Linked DNA regions of Lepisosteus oculatus. The protein of the gene in region 2 interacts with the protein of the main gene of each other region in a biochemical or structural test. Links are inferred from orthologs where the notes say so. Each region holds a gene or a part of one and is shown on either strand. Other genes may lie near its edges. The genes, in order: arf3a and arfip1.

Region 1 (11,094 bases), about 3.3 Mb from region 2:
GCGAGGGGCCGGGGGGGAAGAGGGGGATCACCTGCTTGTTTGCAAAGACCAGGAGAACAGCGTCCCTCAGCTCATCCTCTGCCAGCATCCTCATCAGCTCCTCCCTCGCCTCGTTCACCCGCTCCCGGTCATTGCTGTCCACCACGAAGATCAGCCCTGGGCAGCGGGAGCAGACAGTATCGGTCACTCTCTCGTCACGGGCGCTCAGTCCTGCCGTCTCAAACATACACCTGGCGCCTCAGATGGTATCTTACCCTCATCCAGGGAAACACGGAGCCTCACCTTGCGTGTTCTGGAAGTAATGTCTCCAGAGGGGTCTGATCTTGTCCTGCCCGCCGACGTCCCAAACCGTGAAGCTGATGTTCTTGTATTCCACAGTCTCCACGTTGAACCCTGCGAAGGAGGAGAGAACAGGCCTGAGCCGCTGCACACGACTTCTCCCAACACCTCCGGCACGACTCGGCACCAGCCTCCAGCAACCACACTCTCAGCATGACTCGGCACACAGCCGAAATACCGAATGGAGCTGAAATACTCCAACATGGATATGATTACTGACTGACTTACATCAAGTAACACAAGAAATATCTGGATACCCCATATATTAGTCTGTAATATTAACTCCTCAGTCATGGTTTGGTTGTCCCAATTCAAACAGCAACTGGTAACTCAGTCAACACATGAACAATTGACAGTGATTATTAAATGCGATTTTTTATACTAATTCTCCACCCAACCACAAAAAATCATGATTCTATAAACTGCATAACAGTGAAACACACACTTAAATGACACTCCGACACCGGGCACCACCGACACGCCAGCCCTCTCCCCCGACACGCCACCACCGACACGCCAGCCCTCTCCCCCGACACGCCACCACCGACACGCCAGCCCTCTCCCCCGACACGACACCACCGACACGCCAGCCCTCTCCCCCGACACGACACCACCGACACGCCAGCCCTCTCCCCCGACACGCCACCACCGACACGCCAGCCCTCTCCCCCGACACGACACCACCGACACGCCAGCCCTCTCCCCCGACACGACACCACCGACACGCCAGCCCTCTCCCCCGACACGCCACCACCGACACGCCAGCCATCTCCCCCGACACCGGGCACCACCGACACGCCAGCCCTCTCCCCCGACACGCCACCACCGACACGCCAGCCCTCTCCCCCGACACGACACCACCGACACGCCAGCCCTCTCCCCCGACACGACACCACCGACACGCCACCACCGACACGCCAGCCCTCTCCCCCGACACCGGGCACCACCGACACGCCAGCCCTCTCCCCCGACACGCCACCACCGACACGCCAGCCCTCTCCCCCGACACGCCACCACCGACACGCCAGCCCTCTCCCCCGACACGACACCACCGACACGCCAGCCCTCTCCCCCGACACGACACCACCGACACGCCACCACCGACACGCCAGCCCTCTCCCCCGACACCGGGCACCACCGACACGCCAGCCCTCTCCCCCGACACGCCACCACCGACACGCCAGCCCTCTCCCCCGACACCGGGCACCACCGACACGCCAGCCCTCTCCCCCAACACGCCACCACCGACACGCCAGCCCTCTCCCCCGACACGCCACCACCGACACGCCAGCCCTCTCCCCCGACACCGGGCACCACCGACACGCCACCACCGACACGCCAGCCCTCTCCCCCGACACCGGGCACCACCGACACGCCAGCCCTCTCCCCCGACACCGGGCACCACCGACACGCCAGCCCTCTCCCCCGACACGCCACCACCGACACGCCAGCCCTCTCCCCCGACACGCCACCACCGACACGCCAGCCCTCTCCCCTGACACGACACCACCGACACGCCAGCCCTCTCCCCCGACACGACACCACCGACACGCCAGCCCTCTCCCCCGACACCGGGCACCACCGACACGCCAGCCCTCTCCCCCGACACGCCACCACCGACACGCCAGCCCTCTCCCCCGACACGCCACCACCGACACGCCAGCCCTCTCCCCCGACACGACACCACCGACACGCCAGCCCTCTCCCCCGACACACCACCACCGACACGCCAGCCCTCTCCCCCGACACACCACCACCGACACGCCAGCCCTCTCCCCCGACACCAGGCACCACCGACACGCCAGCCCTCTCCCCCGACACGCCACCACCGACACGCCACCACCGACACGCCAGCCCTCTCCCCCGACACCGGGCACCACCGACACGCCAGCCCTCTCCCCCGACACGCCACCACCGACACGCCAGCCCTCTCCCCCGACACGCCAGCCCTCTCCCCCGACACGCCAGCCCTCTCCCCCGACACCGGGCACCACCGATGCGTCAGCACTGACACTGAGCACTGTAAATTGTCACCACACTGCAAACACCATGCACAGACTCTGCTCCCTTCAGGTGACAAGCCGAAGTCAATTCCTCGCTGCACAGTAAAAAGAAACCTTGGAACCTCTACTTATTCCCTTCAGCCCACGCAGTGACAGCTCCCAGCTCTAACCTTGCTGGATCACAGCTCATTTATCTGCACAGAGGTGGGCGCAACCGGTGCTACAATGGGTGAACAGCTCCACACTGCCAGCCCTGCCGGTCACCCACAATCCACCTTTTGTATTACGCCAGAAGCAAATACAAGCAGAATAATAAGGCTGAAGCGAGCTTCTAGGACTGAACAAAGCCTGAAAAACACATAACCACATGCTGAGGTCTACAGAGGAAGCCAACCCGGATAACAATCTGACGAGAGGGACTGTGGTTTACACCCAGGCAGGCTGGAAGTGGGTGAGAACAGCGTGCTGTACCAATGGTGGGGATGGTGGTGACGATCTCGCCGAGCTTCAGCTTGTACAGGATGGTCGTCTTGCCGGCCGCGTCCAGCCCCACCATCAGGATTCGCATCTCCTTCTTCCCAATCAGGCTCTTCAGCAGGTTCCCGAAAATATTCCCCATGGCGGCTGTCCTTCCCTCAGCAGGCGGTGCTGGTAGCAGTGGGCACTGGCAGCTCCTGGATGAGTGACTGGTTCACAGCGGCGCCTGGCTCGTCCAGTGGGATCGCAGACTTTGGGGGAGACAGAACCAGGCCAGTTAGAAAGAGCACTATCGCTGAATCTCACTCGTCTGCTGTGTGTATAATGACACGTCAAGTCTGGGCATAGATCTCTGCAGGGATTCAGAAATGACATGTGGCACTTAGTAACAGGATCCGGCAACACAGAACCAATCAGTCTCTGTCAAACAGACACTGATCGCCGGGCACTATGACTGTATTTTGCAACTTGTGAGTGGATCAAACTTTCAGTGTAGCACCAGGCCCTGAAGAGAACCGAGAGCTCTTGCCATCTACCGTATTAGAGGGCCTTATTTAGGGTCAGTCACTGCTGGGGGAGGGAGGCATCTCGTTTGCTCAACACGGTGCCCCCGTGTGCCCTCTCGGCTTCTGCCACCACGAGGGCCGGGTCCGGAGCCCGGAAGGAAGATTCCCAAGCCTCTCCCGGAACACCTCTTGGACCTCAGGGGAGCCCCCACCGCCCCCCCAGGGAGAACAGAGGGGATCGTCCCGCTGTCGGGGAGCGACCTGGATCCCGGACACTGGACCCCGAGGTGCAGGAGACACACTCAGCACCGCAGAGCTCTAGGGGAGACGTGGCTCTAGAAGAGTCCCTCTCGGAGAGGACAGAGTCCCAGCGCCGGGCTCCTCCGGGGGGGGCATGGCTGCAGGGGGCCTGTCTGGACTCCCCTTGAAGACGCAATGCCTGACCCTGCAGCAGGAACGAGTGAGGGCTACAGTGCAGCTCGCTGGGGACTTCCTGCTGGCTGACTGGCGCTGCTTGGCCCCACAGGGGTCCAGCTGGCTGTGCTGGACCGGCACAGGAACCAATTCGCAGTCTTACTGCACGTGCCTAACCTAGCAGGGCAGTGGCTGACATACGAGCACAAAGAAAAATACTAGCGCAGACAAATGGACCACCCTGCGATGTCCAGCCTGCTCCCCGGAACTGGACAGCTCTTACAAACGGCCGTTGCGTTTTCTGCCTGGAGTCAAACATCAATAACGGAGCCGGAGCTGGACATGAGGCCCCTGTTCCACAGCAGTGTTGTCCACTTCAGGTTCTTCACGGGGTCTGAACGGCCCTGCCTGTCACGGCACAGGTAGGCTCGGCGTCCCAGCATGCAACAGAGTTGGGTCACCTTTTCTTTAAAGGCACCCCGTACCAGTTCCAGCGGGAATGGAGCCCCCACTGTGGCATGCACTACCCACGGCCCCTACCCTCAGCCCCGTGCTTCTGTAAAACCAGAAACGGCCCCAAGTGCTCTTCGGCAGGAAGTGTACTTCCTGCCCCGCGGCCCCCCGAGCCGCGATGGCTCACCCATCAGAGGTCTCGCAGGCCCACACCCCGCCCTCTCACACCGGGGCTCGACTGGGCCACTCTGCGCTCCAGACACACCACCCCAGTCTTCACACCTTCCACCATACAAGGGAGAGTGAAGGCATTTTCAACTGGGTACTGACTGCTCCTGCCTCACACCCACTAGAAAGGGAGCACCGTCCCGTTGTTTTCTCTCACGCCACAACCGACACCCATCACCCTTATGTGCGAGCATCTGCGTCAGGCCCTGCGCCGGATGCGGGTCCAGCCGAAACAAGGCTGCGAAGATTTCATGAAGCGGGCGGGCAGGACGCCGAGGCGCCGTCCGTCTCCATTAGCGCAGCTTCACACCTCTCCAGACTGCGGGATTACTCAACACTTCCGGGCCGCGGATCGCCTAAACCTGTCCCCGGCTCCCGACTCCCCCGCTGGGAAAGTGAGGTGCGCCAAGCACAGGCTCCGAAAGCCCCTGTCACTTCAGGCTACACACGACCCCCCTGCTCGTCAGAACCTCCCGCCATGGAGACGGACGCCGCCGTTCGCCTCTGTTCTCCGCTGCCGTGCCCGAAGCGGCACCGTGAGGCGGGTGCGCCGTACCGCGCAGGTGGAGCGGCTCCCGGGCTCCGGGTCCCCGCCGTGCAGTGAACACGCGTGTGCACGGCCACGGGCTGGCAGCTGTGCGCCTTTGTCGCGTCTCCGTGAGCTCCGGCTGCGTTATTGTCTTACCGGGGGATAAATGAATGGTTTTCACACCTACCGCGTATGTCGCAGGCAAATGCACAACATATTTCTAATACGCGTGCAAAAAAAAATCTGGACCCTGGTATACCTGATATTATGAGAAGCAAATATTCTCCCGACCGCGTTCGTTTTTTTTTATTGTTATTTTCTTGAACTCCCTCCGCTCCCCTGCTCCTCTCTCGCCAGTCACGACACAGGATCAGTGAAAACCCTTCGCTCTTTTCCGTGTCACGACAACCGTCTCGGTTTTCGGACGCCGACGCAAAAAAGTTGGTAGTCTGAGGGTGCGGTCTGTTATTTTCTGTCCCTCGCTTTTGACAATATGGGCATATTTTTCGCTTTGTTTAATTCAATCCCTTTGCGCAGAGCCGCACTTACCTCCGACGGTGACAGCAGCCGAAATCAGGCAGGGAGACGCACTCTCGCGAGACTTGGACAGCCCTGTCGATTGGGAGAGGGAGGAGGCATGCCGAGATCTCGCGAGACTAGCAGCACGGACGACGACCGTCTTAATAATATTTATGAGAATAAAAGCTCTCATTTCGGTTCTTTAAGGCACGTATACATCAGTGCGCTCTGTGTGTGTCTGTTTTTGTTTGTGGTTTTCATCTTAGGAACAAAATTCCCTGCCTTGTTATCGCTGTCTGTTCCTCTAGTACCCATATGGCCTAGAAAATAAATCCCCTTTTTTCCCTGGAGCTAACACAAGAAAACCCGTTTAAAAATGTAAAAACCGCTCCCAACTATGGGCCACATGGCCACGAGTTAATTATTAATATAAAAAACTCCGGGTAAGGGCGAACACAGAAAACAGCTCAATCGCCTGACAGCGCTTTTTCCTGTCACGTGATGCCCCTCTGGGCTGTTCAGCAATACGGCTTCTACCGGCCGCCCCCGGCTGTCAGCACAGTGGTGTTCGGTGCGCTGTGATTGCTTTTTAGCGTAGCTCAACACATTGCTCTGTAGCTCACCGTGCTACAGCTATCAGGGTTTAGAGAATAATCAAAAAATGTTCGAACATATTTATTATTTGTTGCCGTGATAATGATGTGGTGAATAGTATATCATCTACAGTCAAAAACCGAAGTATCTGGAACAGTGAAGATAATTGAACATTTTTGCTGTGCGCTGATACAAATTTGTATTTCAGCTCAAATGTTAATATGAGGAAAACGTATAGAATTTCAGCTTTTATTTCTGGGCATTATTTTGCACACCTGTTTAGCCATGTTAGAATGCAGTCGTTTGTTGTGTTTAATCCCCTATTTCAGGTGAGTACCTGGACAAATTGCCTTCAAGCATATTCGCCCAGTGTAAAGAGTATTTGGATGCATACTCCTTACATACAATGGCTGCTTCAAGCCTGCGGTCCAACAGCACCACCCGAATGTTCATATGTTCCGCTGAGATGCTGAGCCCAGCCTTAACTGCATCTTCTTACAGTTCTTGCTTTTTGTGGGGTTTTCTGACTTTAGTTTCCTTTTTCAACTACTAAAATGTGTGCTCAATAGCATTCGGATCAGGAGACTGACTTGACCAGTTCCGAATTTCCCCCTTCTTCCTGATCGACTCCCTGGTTAAGCGTGCAGTAAGCTTTGACCTCTTGTGTGGCGGCAGGGTGAGGTTTTCTGTCATCAGCTGCTGCCGTCTTCTTCAAAAGAGGAGTCTTCTGCTTACTCGTCTGTGCAGCAGTTTACTTCTTTTTCAAGAGATTCCATAGTGTTGTATTGTAAACGGGTTTTGCAGTCTTAGACAACTCTGTAGTCCTCTGGGGTCTGGGTCTAAGTGGGTGGGTGGAGGATTTTAGAGGTGGAGTCCAGGAGTCCTACAGTTGTGCGGGCGAAGCTTTCTTTGAACCTAGAGGTCCAAGCTTTTATACTCCTATATCTTCTGCCAGGAGGAAGAAGAGAGAAACGTGCATTCCCAGGGCAGTATGATCCCTGATTGTATTATTCGCTGTTCTGGGGCAGTGTGTGGTGAGGCTGGTCTGGATGGAAGGGGGTTCTGCACCAGTGATGGCCATTTCCATTCATGAGCTGGGCAACTGCCATACCAGACTGCAATGCATCCAGTGAGAATGCATTCTATAATGCATCCGTAGACATTCCCGAGTGTACGTGAAGACATGCCGAATCTCCTGATTCTCCTGAGGCGCTGGTTTATGACTCTCCGCCCGTGAGATGGGACCAGGTCAGGCTGTTGGTGATGTGAACCTGAAGCTCCTGACCATCTCCACAGCGGCCCCATGGATGCAGACAGGGGCGCGGCCTCCTCCCTGCTTCCTGAAGTCAACAACCAGCTCCTGAGTTTTGGTGATGTTGAGGGAGAGGTTGTTGTCCTGGCACCATACTACCAGGTCCTCAACCTCTTTCCTGCTTATCTTTCTACAGAGATGAGTTGCTCTCGAGAGCTATCCCTATCTGTTTTGAACATATGTTGCTGAAGTGCTTGTAAATTATAAATATGCCTTATTATAAAAACTAGCATGCAAGATTAATTCTCTTAGTACTAGTACCAGAATCCCATGACAAAAATAACCTAGCGATGGCCTATTTTGTATTTCCTTAGAAATGCCCCAGTTCTCTCTAGAAACTTTTCGGTTAATTTCTTGGGGGTCAAGACAATGTATGTATAAAATAAAAGACTTGTATTGCCATTTCAGTGCAATTGATTGATTTTATTGCCCTGGTGAGTTTAATTAAAATATTGTTCTCTGTGTTGGTAAGCGGATCTTTTGTACTCTGACACCTTGCAGTTATTGGCCTGTCTCTAATATAATGCTGTGCTATACAGAACAAAGTGACAGTGTTCTGTCTGCTGCATGCTGATTATTCCCAGTTCACTGTCTGTCACTGTGGCAGGATAGAGGTCATAAACCCTATTTTGCCTCAAGACAGTACTATAAATTGTTTTTGAGAATCAAAAATTGTTTGAAAACTTTAGGTTGTATTGAAAATGGCAGTTCTATGAAATTATAACATTGCGAGTGGCGCAGTGGTCAGCATTGCTACCTTGCAGTTGTGGGGTCCTGGGTTCAGTTCCTGGGGTGCTGTCTGTGTGGAGTTTGCATGCTCTCCCCATGTTTGTGTGGGTTTCCTCCAGGTGCTCCGCTTTCTGCCCACAGTCCAAAGACATGCTGGTGGGTTAATTGGCTTCTGGGAAAACTGGGTGGTGCAAGTGTGTGTTTGTGTCTGTCTGCCCTACAACGGACTGGCGTCCTGCCCAGGATGTACCCTGCCTTGCACCTATGGCTTGCTGGGACAGACTCCTGCAACCCTGTATTGGAAGAAGGGGTTGGAAAATGGGTGGATTGCAATTGCAAATTACAATTCAACAAAAACATACCATTGTCACACATTGAATTATAGCAAAGTTATAAGAAAACTTTGAGACGAAGGCTGGACCCTCATCTCGCACACTTCCGCTCGCCTGTGTACATTAGTCTCGTACCTAGGGGCACTCCCATAGTGCATCTCTCTCGTACTCCTCCCACCACCCCTGCAGCAGCTCCCTGGCTCAATCCTCGTGATCTGAGAGGGGTCTGAGCAGCCCGGTCCTTCTGATGAGACTGCTTATAGGGCCTTGCAAAAGTATTCACCCCCCTTGGACTTTTTTACATTTTATTGAGTTACAGCATGGAACCGTGATGTATTTAACTGATACATTTTGCCACTCATCAACACAAAGTACTCTATAATGTCAAAGTGAAAAAAGAAATCCAGTTAAATAGGTCATAGTTCCATGCTGTAACACAATAAACTGTGAAAAAGTCCAAGGGGGGGTGAATACTTTTGCAAGGTGCTGTATTTCCTCAACCAGGTGAGCTGCATACAGTATACCCTCTCTCTCATGTTTGTTAGGATTTAAACAAACTGCTGCAGATCAGACCCAGCACAACCTGTGAATAATTATTTTGGTAATTTAATAATTTTCAAGACACAGGATTTATAAAAAAATGTCTTCACAGTGGAGCTGGAACTTAAGAAACAAGATCCTCCTTATTGTTCCTTTACTGTCTCAAGACTTCCCCTTTCTTGTCCCTCTCTCTGGAAACTGAGTCCATTCCACCCTCTTCGATATTGTCTGACTGTATGTTGCGGTGAGTTTACTGTACACATAAGCTGGCTTCTCACCTTTCAGTCTGGCCAGATCTCAGAAGCGAAGCGAGGTCAGTACTGGCAGGAGAGACTGAGGAAACCAGATGGCTAATGCTATGGAAGCTGTTGGTGAACCAGAAGGGGGCACTGTTTCACCAAAACCAGAATTTCTAAATCAATACCCCAGTGTGACGGCCAGGGACACTGTGCTGTAAGAAGTACCTTCCTTCAGATGAGACATTAAACAAAGGTCTATTTGGATTATTAAAGATCCAATGACACTGTCAGAGCAGGTGTGTTAACACCAGTGACCTCCCTTCACCCCCTGGAGCAGCAGTGTCTCTCTCCTGCCCTGAGCTGCTGTGCAGTGGGGCTGCAGTGTGTCTCCCAGGAGGGGCTGCTCTTCACTGGGGAGGAGCTGGGTCCCCTCCTGTGTGTGAAGAGCTTTGACATCCTTTGGAAACAAAAGTAATTTAGGCGTCCAGCCCTCAGCCTAACCCTATTCCTCACACAAACCCGAGCACGAGGCCGTGAGACCTTGCTGTGTGTGAGCTCTCTATTTCTGCTGAGCTCTCCGGACTCCAGGACTGCGTTCGTGGTGAATCAGCCCCTACAGGAGCTCAGATGAGCCGCCCCCCCACATTCCCCAGCTGCTCGTCCGCTTTCGAGACTAAGTGGCTCCATCTGCAGGCCTTGGCCTCCCTCTCGTCCCTGGGCTTCTCTCTCTGCGTGACTCACCGGCCATGCAGGTTCTCTCTCTCTCTCTCCCTCCGCCCGGGAGTCACATTCCCTTCATCCGGCCTGACAGGAGTCCCATTCCATCCAGCTGCCACCCCCACCCGCCCCTCCACCGTCCCAGCCAGCCCACATCACAGGGCAGCAGCCCCGGATGACAGCGGTGCAGTGACAGATCTCCAAATGGGACGTCTTCCTGCGGAAAGCCACTTAAAACACGGTCTGGAACTCATTTACTGGGCCGGCTGCAGCGGGAGCTGCTTCAGGAACAACAGACTGCTGAGTCCCTCTCTCTCCCTCTGTGACTCCTGGACAGCCTCTGTCTCTCAGCCTCCATCGCTCCCTCACTCATTGTCCTCTTTCTCTCTCTGCACCCTGAATCATCCATTGCTCTCCTGCCCCTGCGCTCTGTGCCCTCCATCGCTCTCCTGTCCCTGCTCTCTCTGTGCCCTCCATCGCTTTCCTGCCCCTGCTCTCTGTGCCCTCCATCGCTCTCCTGCCCCTGCTCTCTGTGCCCTCCATCGCTCTCCTGTCCCTGCTCTCTGTGCCCTCCATCGCTCTCCTGCCCCTGCTCTCTCTGTGCCCTCCATCGCTTTCCTGCCCCTGCTCTCTGTGCCCTCCATTGCTCTCCTGCCCCTGCTCTCTGTGCCCTCCATCGCTCCTGCCCCTGCTCTCTGTGCCCTCCATCGCTCTCCTGCCCCTGCTCTCTGTGCCCTCCATCACTCCTGCCCCTGCTCTCTGTGCCCTCCATCGCTCTCCTGCCCCTGCTCTCTGTGCCCTCCATCGCTTTCCTGCCCCTGCTCTCTGTGCCCTCCATTGCTCTCCTGCCCCTGCTCTCTGTGCCCTCCATCGCTCTCCTGCCCCTGCTCTCTGTGCCCTCCATCACTCCTGCCCCTGCTCTCTGTGCCCTCCATCGCTCTCCTGCCCCTGCTCTCTCTGTGCCCTCCATCGCTTTCCTGCCCCTGCTCTCTGTGCCCTCCATTGCTCTCCTGCCCCTGCTCTCTGTGCCCTCCATCGCTCTCCTGCCCCTGCTCTCTGTGCCCTCCATCGCTCTCCTGCCCCTGCTCTCTGTGCCCTCCATCGCTCTCCTGCCCCTGCTCTCTGTGCCCTCCATCTCTCCTACCCCTGCTCTCTGTGCCCTC
Region 2 (12,009 bases):
AATGTACTGATTTGAATAAATGAAAAATTAAAAAAAAGCCTTAGATATGTATGTTGCTATATAGGATATGATCTTCTCTTTTGCCATGAAACTGTGTAAAGCTAATCAGATTGGATAAGCTGCTTTGTGTTTATTTTACATTTATGGTATGTACGATAACCAGGGGCCGGGTTTTGGAAGGGAGATATTTCCCCCATCACATGTTACAGGTGCTTGATATGAACACAACCTCAGCAAGACTGCTGACAGTTGTTTCAAAACAGTTGTCAAGAAAGCAGTCTATCAGCCATGAAAATAATGTGAAACACCTGACGATATAAATCAATCACTATCTGCTCAATAACATGGACGCCTAGTAGGTAGAAGCGAGGGAGGCGCACGTGGTATTGTGATTGAAAACAAAAAAGAATGTTGGTTTTTGATTTAGACCTCACTCGTCAAGCAGGTAGAGCTAGTTTTATATAGCTTTTTTGCGGTACACAGGTGTTTAACATTATTTTGATGACTGACAGACCTCTTCCTTGACAAAGAAGGGGAATTTTATTCTTAAAATCGGGAATAAAAAATGTTGGAGGAAGTCATTAAGCCATGTTGCAAAGACCACTGCTTCCAATCTGCCCGATGAAACAGAACATCAGCCTAGTCATCAGTCAGTAGGAAATGCACAGCAGGTACAGAACTAATAGAGAAATACAGAATGAATACTAAAAAAGTGCCCACTGAAGTAGAAGATAAATAAAATAATTCAGTAAAAGGCTCTACTGACAACACCTGTAAAATATTACTACTAAGAAAGGTTAACTACTGAAAATAATGAAATGATGATGCCGCTGATAACAAACACAAATGTTATCAACGTTTACATCCTAATGATGGGCCCCAAGGCCAGTGTTTCACACTACACTGGCAATCTTTCCCTTGGGGAAAAAAGCTGACTATGGATTCTCATATCCAACCACATGCATAACAGCTGATCAGAACAGGAGAGCGTAGCACCCTGGCTGTAGAATACTCACAACTGTTCTCCACTACTCTGGGCACTAATCCGTGTAAGATATGCTTGGATAAAAATAAAGTCTGGTTACACCACAATGCTATGCTCAACAAAACAAAGCTCCATTTCATTTTAACAAGATATCAAAATCATTAGGTTTAAAAAAAACTATAAGATTAAATCAATATGAATATTTAGTCTTTTCAAATAAATAAAATAGGGTCAAGAAAACAGAGGTCAGAAAATAATCAAGCAACTATGATCATAATAGGACAAATTGTGTACCTTGAAAACGTGGTGAGATGGAATCGGTAGAAAAAAGATGGCAGCACTTTAAAGATATACTGCTTGAAGCACAGAGCAAACATCTTGTGGATCAAATAGATACAAATATTCATTTGTTCCCTTACCTATTAAAGCAATTAATACAAAAAAAATGGCAAGGGTAATTGCAACTGTGTCAGTATAAGCCAATTAAGTTGTAATAAACTATGTTCATGTAATATGTCACGACCACACTGTCACAGGTTCTGGATGTGTAATAAATGTAATGTGTAATGTTTTGTGATGTATTTAGATGTACAGAAGAGCTAAGTGTCCATAAAATTTTCCCTTAGGGGACAATACAAGTTCATCTTATCTTCAGCCCACAATTAACTACATCAAATGCTATAAAGCAGTAGTCCAAGCTGTTTAATATATCATTAACAAAACTTTAGGGAGAAAGAAATCTGTTCTTGGCAGCACAGTGGCACAGTGGGTAGCATCTCTGGGGCTCTGGGTTCAATTCTGGTCTTGAGGTGCTATCTGTGTGGAGTTTGTATGCTCTCCCTGAGTTTGTGTTGGTTGCCCCTGGGTGCTCCACCTACAGTTTTCACCTACAGTCCAAAGTCATACTGATAGGTTAAGTGGCTTCTGAGAAAACTGTCGCCAGATGTGAGTGTGTGCGTGTCTGTGTGCCCTGTGATTGACTAGCGTCCTGTCCAGGATGTGCGATGCCTTGAGTCTGCTGCCTGCTGAGATGGGCTCCAGCGCCCCCACAACCCTGAACTGGAAAAACTGTTCGAAAACAGATGGACGGAAATCTGTTCTTCATTTGAAGAAATGCAGAACAACAAATTGCAAGCTTTGCATGATTAGAACAAATATTGCAATGTTTTTTTTTTAATGAAAAGTTGTTTTGTTCTACAACAGCAAAAGAACAGTAAAGGATGAAGTAAACTGTCACAAGAGACAATAGGAGCCTTTTAAAATTTGAAAGGAAAATGTCTATTTTCTGAGGACTTAATTTACATGTTAAGTAAATGACACTTCTACTGACTATCAGGAAAGAAGATGCCACTTCTAGACCTCAACACAGGAGTACCCACTGACTAGAAAATTGGAAAACTGCCCAAGTAACACACAACATACAAGGCATGACAAAACCAAACAAAACAATTATAGACTTTTTATCATCTGCTCAATGAAGGGAACTGGCTGACAACTATTTGCTCTGAGTGAACTCTAAATTACTGAATTTACTTAATCACTTGCCTAACTGATCAAATTTCAACAGGTCTATGTCTTCAATGCTACCATGCTGCCAGAGATTTCTAAGACTAAGCTGGAGACCACTGTCTTTACAAAATTTCAGTTTGTTGGTAACTGTTTACTAACTGACCAGATTGTTTTGTTCCTATTTTCCTATGAATGCACCTGCATTTAAAACTGAAATCAACATTTGAGAACACCGTTAGTCCTACTTGCAGCACAAATAAGATTTCGGCCATGGAGCCTTCTTCAGGTGTGAGCTGAAGAAGGCTTACACCCGAAGAAGGCTCCATGGCCAAATCGTTGTGTTTTCTTTCTTCTCTTTTCAGCACGGAATAAACCTATTACTTGTTCCTTTGCAGCCTTTGCATGCTGACGCAGCTACCCACCTGAACTACATATATCATATTTGTTCTTTTTCTGATGAAATACAAACATCCCGGCTGGAAATTCAGCCACAGTTCTTAGCTTTATCTTATATTTAAAGAGGAAACAGTGAAAAGAACAATTACATGGAAGACTATATTTATTGGCCTTCCAGGAGTAACGTCTCAAAAAGGGTCCATTTTGTTTTTAGCAACCTAGGTTTGGATAGTCTTGTCTCTTCTCATATCCCATCATACTCTTACTCCGTTTGTTCCTATCTCTGCCAACACTCTGGTCCTGTTTGCTCTTGAGTTCCGTATTTCCCTCCTCCCTTACCTTACTGTGGTTGAAATTCTGACTCGTGATAGAAGCTCAATGCTCAATCACCTTGTGGTGCACCATCAAACCTCGCCTGTTCACTTGAAATTCTAAATTTTACAGTCTTTTCCAGCTTTACAACTATTACTTCTTGTTCTGGCATGATACAAGTCTTTTGATATTTAAAAGGTACTGACTAGCAAAGTAAACAGGACAGGTTAAGAACTTGAAGACACCAGTAAAACTAAGAGGGTGTACATTTGAACTGCAAAGAGGTGGGAGCTTTTCACAAAAAAGGGTTAACAGTGACTTGAACTTCCCAACCATGTTGTCAACGCAGATTAAGATATTTCAAGAAACTGGAATGATGAAGACTCAGGAATATTACACTATCGACCAAAGATGAGCCAATTGTAACTTTTCCTATGTTTTTACTCTATAACAGTAATATTGTTTTACTGCACACCTATGGTCATGCAGTACATGATACTGTTTTACACTGTACTTCTTGTTATTCCATGCTGCATTTGTTTATCCATGTAACATGCATACATCAATGTTACTCATACACAGTGCGATTTAAATAGTTTACTTGTACTGATGTTTTCCTTTAAATAATGTTTTATCTGTAAATGATGTGATAAAGGAATCAGCACAATGAATGAGAACACTGATGATAGGATACTTCATCATGAGAAAAAACTGGCTAATTTTAAATACACAGTACAGTGACTGTCATGTCTATAATAACTTAGGTCTTTATGTTCACGCTTCTACCAGATACTGAAATGTTAAAATAAAACTAGGCAAACGATGAACAAATGAGGAAGACAGAAAATCAGGAAGCGAAGGTGTTAGACGATACCAAGCATACCTCTGACAATTGTAATCGGAAGAGCAAATAAAAATGACGTTGGTCATACAAGAAAATAAATTGTAACTAAGAATCTAAGGCATCAGAATTACAGTTTACTACACAGTACTGATGCAACACGGCTCCTTTAAGAATGCAGAAGGAAGCGCATCAACGGCTCCATCTGGATGTGAGAGACACGTAAACGGTAGTTACACAAGCCAACTACAACTCTTAAAACTCCCAACAACTCCTTCATAACACAGCATCAACTTTAAAACGTACGTTAGGTTTATATGTACAGTATGCTCCTCTAGTTTCAAGTGATTTCTAATAATGCCAGGCTACTCTAATGGTTTTTTCCTTTGAGCCCTGGGTCTAATACCGAAATCCAATACTTCCTGAGAAATTCTACTCGAACTCATTTAAGGCTTCACAAAGCAAGTAACACTACACTTTGATTTTTAAGGGTAACGTCTTTAGAAAGGGGAAGTGAAGATTTGTTCAGAATTACACAAGCAAGGCTAACGTTTATAGACGGCTCTGTCAATAACTCCACCGCTCTGGGGAATCGTACAAGACGTCAGCCTAATCCTCGACGTCGCCCACAGCACGCAACTTGATCCACAGCCACAGAAGCAAACTTGCAAGTCCCTCGTGAAGCCGATCACAAAAACAGGGCTCCACTTGTTCCTTCGTCTACACTAGCAACCAAACTGAGCCGTTCTCTCTCAACTTTTTGTGCCTCCGCCACTGGCACCACTTCCCACACACCCCCCTGCGACACCAACACCTATGGTCGCGACTAGCTTACCGCTGTAGGGAAAATAAACCGTATCTTCAACAACAACAAAAAAACGTTTCGCCCTCCTACTAGAACAAGCAAAGAAACTCTTACCTGCTATTGTCTTCCGGGGCTCTACTGTTCCTGCAAATGGGGTGGCGGCGGGTTTTCGTCTTGGCGATGCCGTTGCCCTGCTGTGTTAAATTACAGTGTTAGCACTAGCAGCGTTTTGCAGCACCCATTGGATCACCCCCCCCGCGCGCACACACTCACACAGTGGAGTCGCAGAGACCCGGAAGGAGACGGTTTCCAGGCGAGAAGAACAAGAAAGGGCAACAACATCCGGGCTCTTTCTCGAGCTGAAGGGGCGCAGCTTGGGTATCCCTTAATTGCACTGCGGGCACGCTTTGCGGTTGCGTATACAGTATGTACAAGAACTTCCTTTCGCGAACGTAGTACTGTAGTTTTTTTTTTGCCGTCATTGCAAAAGTAACTGTAAAATAGCCAACGTTGAAAATTATTTTATTTATCAGTATCGATGTATTTCTGTTCATTGTGGAAATATTTTATTTAATTTATTTTCTGCACGCTTGAAGGAGCGTGTAAAAACAACCGGACAAATGTCTTCCTAAATACCCCCTTTGTCGTTGGATAAGGAAAGCACGGTTGCGGGTTATTATGTAAATGTAAATGCAAAATTAAAGTGGACGTTTCAGCTTTGAATTCGTTGTTTTAAAAGATGGGTCACCTTAAGAGACAGGAGACAAGTATTTTTTTTTAAGCTCTGAACACAGTAACCCTCCCATGATCAGTTCAAAAGAGCATCGAGATAGTGTTAATGTTTGGTCGGTCTTTATGTATTTTGTATATTTTATATATATATAAATAACACGGCTATCAATTGTTGCCTGTTTCAAGCTAAACAATATAGAAACTATCTTCTGTGAAGGAAATGGAACTGGAACAGAGACGAACCAACTCATTTTTGACTTTTTGAAATTTGATAATCCAGAACCAAATAAAACCAGTGTCCATCCCTGAATATATAACATAACATCACTTTATTAGCCCTATACAATTTCTTGCATTAGGAATTTGTCTTTTTGCATACCTCCAGCTTGCTCTCCATGAGACACACAGATAGGGAGAGAGCCTGAGGTCAGAGCACAGAGTCAGCCATTTTACAGCACCCCTGAGCCAGCAACCTCGCAGCCACAGGTGGAGATCCTTACCCACAGAGCCACCACTTCACCCCATATTATAGCAGAAGTTCAGGACTGTCAGTCCCCAATAACTGCAACATGGAATGAGAAGAGCCTCTTTATTGAGGTGAAAGTAAACTTAAGTGCTGTAGCTTGTAAAATAAAGCAAACAAGATGGTACCAGTTATGAAATAAAAAACAAAACACTCATCCATGTACAAAAAAAGATCTTGAATGCTTGTCAATCATTCCAGAAATCATGGTGTATGTACCAGTTAAGGGACCCATGCTTTGGGTCAGACTAAATGATTTTAGTTAGAACCTAGGATGATTTCAGGGTGCAGTATTGGCTGGCTAGATTATTTGATGTCACAATATGGTCTTTTCACTCTCAATCTGTGGAATGTCTTTTATCATCTGCAGGCACTTCAACAGTTTGGTAGCAGACTGTGCTGCCCTATTATTTGAATGAATATCAAGCAAGATGTGTTTAATGTTGGTGAGACAAAGTTGCTGTATCAGATGTTAAACTTCGAGTACTGCTGCCTTTAATGCTGATGGTAGCAGTCGATATGAATTTTTTTTCATTAGATAAGATCACTTTATTAGCCCTATACAATTTCTTGCATACACACACATAGGGAGAGAGAAGCCTGGGGTCAGAGTGCAGGGTCAGCCATTGTACAGCACCGCTGGAGCAGCTGGGGTTAAGGGCCTTACTCAGGGGCCCAACAGAGTAGGATTGTAGTATTTGAACCAGAAACCTTCCAGCCACTGGCGCAGATCCTTAGCCACGATATGGATGGGTTGGAAAAGCTTCCTTTGTTATTAGTTGGTACAAATAAAGACCTTAAAAACATCGGGTCACTACCAGTGGATTACAGGTCAACCAGCACAGGATGCCTGACCCAAGAAGTGTGAAAAATGTCTTTGTAAATTGGATAGAAGATTTAATGCTCAAAAGCAACAGATAGCTTTGTTAGCCAATGCCCTGTGTACCCCGCATATCTCCAGTTCATTGAGCTCTCGCCTTTCCCTTTTTCTATGACAGCTAATGAGCACCCAATGAAGCATGGAACCATTAAAAGCTTTACCATAAACTACAGGCTCCAGCTGCTGATCAAGCGGTTTATTGAGTGTGTGGAGAAAAACAAGGAGTTCACTTTATCACCGTTGGAGGTAGCAGATATGTTACACCTGAGCTGGAGAAGTGTGATTGAGCAAACATTTTCATCTAGTTAAAAAAAAGGCCAAATTCAAGCCACAGAATGAAACAGCAGGCGTGGAAACAATAGCCAAAGACAACAACAGAGAACGTGCATTCCTGATGTAACATCTGCAGGATTTTAGTTGCATACCAATAATGACAATAATGCCGATCCCATTTTTAATTTACTTCTTTATGTAACTGTTTTAAATTTCCTGCCCGTGTCTAATCCAATAAGGAATAAAATTAGGCTTAATTATTTTGTTTTGTCCGGTGGATTTACAATAATGTGAACTGGTGCAGTGTACAGAAATCACTTGAGATATTCATAAAGTATTTCAGGGCTTAATTGCCCTGAAAATGCATCTTGGAGAGTTTGCAAGAGGTTTAGCAAAATTACTTCAAATAGTCTTCTTTACAATGATCTAGTGTGTGGTAAACACATAACGAATTATTTGAAACACATGGATCTCCATATTACATAGTTTAATCTAACTGCTAAAAAATGACATTAACTGACATTGTACACAATCAAAGAAAGCAGAGGAATTCAGAAGTCTCGTATCATCTGAAATATTTAAGTATTTAAATAGTTTCCAATATTTAATATTTGTCAAAATGACAAAAAAATTAACAAATCAGCTGACCTATTTCAGTTGACAAAAAGTTGTACAGGACATGTAGTAATCTCCAGTAATCCCTACAGTGTTGTCAATGGATTACACTTGATATGTCGGCTGGAAGGCAAGTGTAATAAAAGGCAACTGAATATAAATTAAACTTCACTCAGAATGACAGATTATATGAAGACTTATACAAAGTTGTACAGTAAGATGCACAACTAATGTAAGTGACTTTTACAGTATGTGTTCTCACTGCCATTGACAAATACTGTCAAATAATTTGTTTCCTGTTTTCAAAAGGAAGAAAACTGGTAATTATTGAGCATGCTCTATGTGGAGTTTATTTTACATCATAAGAAAGTTTTCAGAATACATGAAAATGAACGCTCCATTTTAGATGAAGCACTTAAACATAACTTGAAAAAACATGCCACTGGGTGTATGGGAAAACCTTATGTCACTTGCCATACAGATTATCCTCTAGTTAAGTTCTAATTATTGTTTCCATAGCCTTAAATAATTAATAGAAACTAACTCCATTTAGACGCCATCTGCATTGATGGGGCTGTATTCCTGCCAATGGGTGTCACCCCTGTCTCCAAACAGTTGCTGCAAGATTTAGCTAAGCAGACCATTATTAAGCGAGCCATGCAGGATCAGGCAGTGCTGTGTTCTCAGTATATTTCAAGATCTAAATTATACATGTCATTTCTTTTTTTACAGCTCAGCATTGTATCAGAAAACCTGCTGTGTTTCAAATTCACTCACTGTCATCTAATAATGACTTGTTTACTTTTGTAAAGTCTTCTTTGTTTAAGTTGCTGTAAATGTAAAAAAATCCCTTTAAATTCACACTCAAGTCTCAGCTGTCTGCTTCTTTGAAACCTTGTAGCATTGGTCGATCAGATGATCTATAAGAGAATGGTGAACAAAGTGCTTGAATCGAATGCATTGGGACATGGTCGAGACAGGAAATGGGATGCTGCTTTTACAAAGAAGGACAGGTATGTTGATTAGTGTGCTACCTGTCAGCCAATGCTCAGAATAATCTTTAATTAAACCAATGTTTATGTAACAGCAAGAAGTGAATTTGCTACTTTGTGCTTGAGGTATTATTATTAAGGTTGCTGCTGGAAGAGGTGTTAGTGGGGCCAGCAGGGGGCGCTCACCCTGTGGTCCATGTGGGTCCTAATGCCCCAGTATAGTGACAGGGACACTATACTGTAAACAGGCGCCGTCCTTACTGACTCTCTGTGGTCATTAAAAATCCCAGGGCGTTTCTCGAAAAGAGTAGGGGTGTAACCCCAGCATCTTGGCCAAATTTCCCATTGGCCCAGTCATGGCCTCCTAATAATCCCCATCTTGAATTGGCTTCATTACTCTGCTCTCCTCCCCACTGATAGCTGATGTGTGGTGAGTGTTCTGGCGCACAATGGCTGCCATTGCATCATCCAGGTGGATGCTGCACATTGGTGGTGGTGGAGGGGAGTCCCCATTACCTATAAAGCACTTTGAGTGGATTGTCCAGAAAAGCACTATACAGTATAAGTGTAAGCAATTATTATTATTTCCACTTAAATCCACTGATGACCTTAAAAACTAAGGTACCAAAGAAAATTACACATGAAAGTAAAACCAGTATTAGTTAAACTTATTTCCTCCTTAAACTTAATTTCCTGGATTGCTCTACCTTTAGCTCTACACTGGCAATAGCCGTTATTGAACACGTCACAGCTACAGCTACAACTGCAGTGAAATAGGAGGAAACATGACAGTGCTTGTAGAACACATTTGTGCCACAAGATGGAGGCAATGAGACAGACTTCAGAAAAGAGTTCGTGTTTTGGTTCAGAATGTTCTGTGTGTTATATCTGGAAGAATCCTTACAACACTATTTATTATTCTTATGTATTATAGATTTTATAATTAATCAAGTGAAGGCCTGTTTTAATACCTGCCCCTTATGTTTTGAGAAAACCCTAAATCCAGGATAAAGCTTGATACATCTAAACTTAATCTTCAAAAGATTTTGTTTCTAGATAAGGTTTATGACAAACAACCAAGATGAAACTCAGCATAAGTTAATGCATTGTATGGCTATACCCTGGATTCTCTTAGGCTAGTTGCTTGCTGTGGAGAGCCTGTATGCTCCTGGGGAACAACATTCCCATCACAGTCTCATCTTACACCTAGACATCTTACATGGACAAGGCAAGATGTCTGATATAGCAATTACAGTGCACTATCTCTTCAAAGGTTCTGTTCACTCTGTTCAGTCCTTTGCTTCTATTATAAAGATGCTGCTCTCTGATCCCCTTTTTACCCCACCCTCTGACCAATCTGCATTATATTATAGCCATCTTTAAACTAAATACTATAGTAAACCAATATTTCTTGTGAAATAGATCATCCATCCATAAAACTAACTACAGTTTAATAATGAATAATGAATGCAGTACCAGCACTCAACACTCACTAGCTCAACAATGCAACTTGAAAAACAAAGAAAGTCAAAATACCAATAAAAAGAATGAAGGTAGTGTAGCAGAATAGATTTCTAAATAAGGAAGAGCATGTCCTGGGCTAACCTGCAACCAGTCAGAATTAGTGTTCAGTGAGTCATTATTGTATCATAATTCAGTCAGTTGTCTTTTCCCCAGGTTTAGGTTTAACAGACTTATTTTCCAAGATGAAGGACATGACTATCCTAGACTAATCCTGAGCTCATAAATATGACTGCAAATGAAGTTCTAAAAAAAAATAATGGTACCATAATATTAGGTCTCAAAATTAAAAATGAAGCAAAGGAAAATAAATCCCAAGAACCAGTCTTGATATTGTATTTTTCCATATTAATGTCTGGGCACGCTACCAATTTAACAGTTAAAAGTCTTATAAAAGGTGAGAGTTCATGTGCTAAAGTATCATTAAAACAATTTTCTCAGGACTTAATAACCGATTAAAATATATTATAGGGAAAGATGTTGTTTGTTATGTCCGGGCAAGCCACAGCTCATCGTCCTCGGTCTCCACGGAAACCAGCCGCATTCCCACGAGACTCCCAGAGCTGTGAGGTCTCACTCGGGCTGCTTGTCATAACCACCCGCCATCAATTAAAGGGTGATTATTCCATCAGTCCAAGACAACCTTGATCTGCCTGTAGTCCAGTGCTCTGTCATTGAGCTGCCATCTGGATAGGGTAGTGCCTGCTGCACAACAAGCCTGCTTCCAAGAAGGACAACAAGCCCGACTTCAGCCCGAGTATTTGTTCGTCTCAAACCCGCTCTGTCTGTCGGCCAGCCAAGCACCGGACCAGTGACAAAGAACCGTAGCTCCTGCCAGACAGCCCTGAGTGTCGGCACAGCCACCGGGACCTGCTCAGCCCCTTCAGCTGCAGTAGCTCTCGGTCTCAGATTAACCTGTGTGCCACTGCTGTTCAGCTATCTCTACCTGCCTTCATACTCTGATCTGGTTCGGCTATCTCCTTCAGCTTTAGTCATTCCCCGAGGCTTGACTGGGATCAAGGGTTTGGATTCCTCTGCCTGTCAGCCAAACATGGTTTTCTACATCTGATTGCCCTGTCGTAAAATTATTATCATAGGCTTTACCTTTCCTGCTGAAATGATTGACCTACCTAATACAAAGCTATTCTTCAATATCCATTTTAATGTAGTGCATTTGTATTGTATTGTTTTCAAAACTGAACAGTGGTGGTTTCTTCATGTTATTGATAAGATCAAAAGTATGCCCCGTTAAAGCAGCAGTTAAGAGCAGACTGCATGCGTTATGAAGAATTTTCCAGTTAACAAGGTATCTAACAGTGAATAATATTGAATCCCTGGTAAAACGATGTAAAGAAAATGCAAAAACCTCACCGTTCCCTATTTCCTGGGAAGTTAGGGCTTCTGGCAAGTCTGCATACCTTAGGTGGAGGAATTTACTTTTCAGCAAGCAAAACAGCAACCAGGCTTGTGGCTACAAGCTCTTAGCTGATTGCATCACATCCGACAGAAATTACCCTGTTTTAGTCAGAACCTTAGGTAAGAAAACTCAGTCAGGAAACAGGAAATACAGAATGTCATGATCTCAAGTGAAGAAATCAGGGCACAATGGCATTATGTCTTCTTAT

Evidence for each region.
Region 1: the proteins of arfip1 (region 2) and arf3a form a complex in vitro, tested with the Homo sapiens proteins (2 studies listed by BioGRID). The link is inferred for Lepisosteus oculatus from reciprocal best matches to the Homo sapiens genes ARFIP1 and ARF3.

The regions. Positions count from the first base shown.
Region 1 is NC_090696.1:21,839,076-21,850,169, reverse strand, and holds the start of arf3a (ADP-ribosylation factor 3a), read right to left. Parts: upstream 5,608-11,094; 5' UTR 5,499-5,607; intron 5,475-5,498; exon of another isoform or gene 5,209-5,474; intron 3,482-5,208; exon of another isoform or gene 3,356-3,481; intron 3,071-3,355; 5' UTR 2,962-3,070; coding exon 2,814-2,961; intron 394-2,813; coding exon 283-393; intron 157-282; coding exon 32-156; intron 1-31.
Region 2 is NC_090696.1:25,106,672-25,118,680, forward strand, and holds the start of arfip1 (arfaptin-1), read right to left. Parts: upstream 5,141-12,009; 5' UTR 5,122-5,140; intron 5,116-5,121; exon of another isoform or gene 5,043-5,115; 5' UTR 4,963-5,042; intron 1-4,962. Other genes in the region: tmem154 (transmembrane protein 154), read left to right, coding at 11,998-12,009. UniProt on the Homo sapiens protein: Plays a role in controlling biogenesis of secretory granules at the trans-Golgi network. Mechanistically, binds ARF-GTP at the neck of a growing secretory granule precursor and forms a protective scaffold.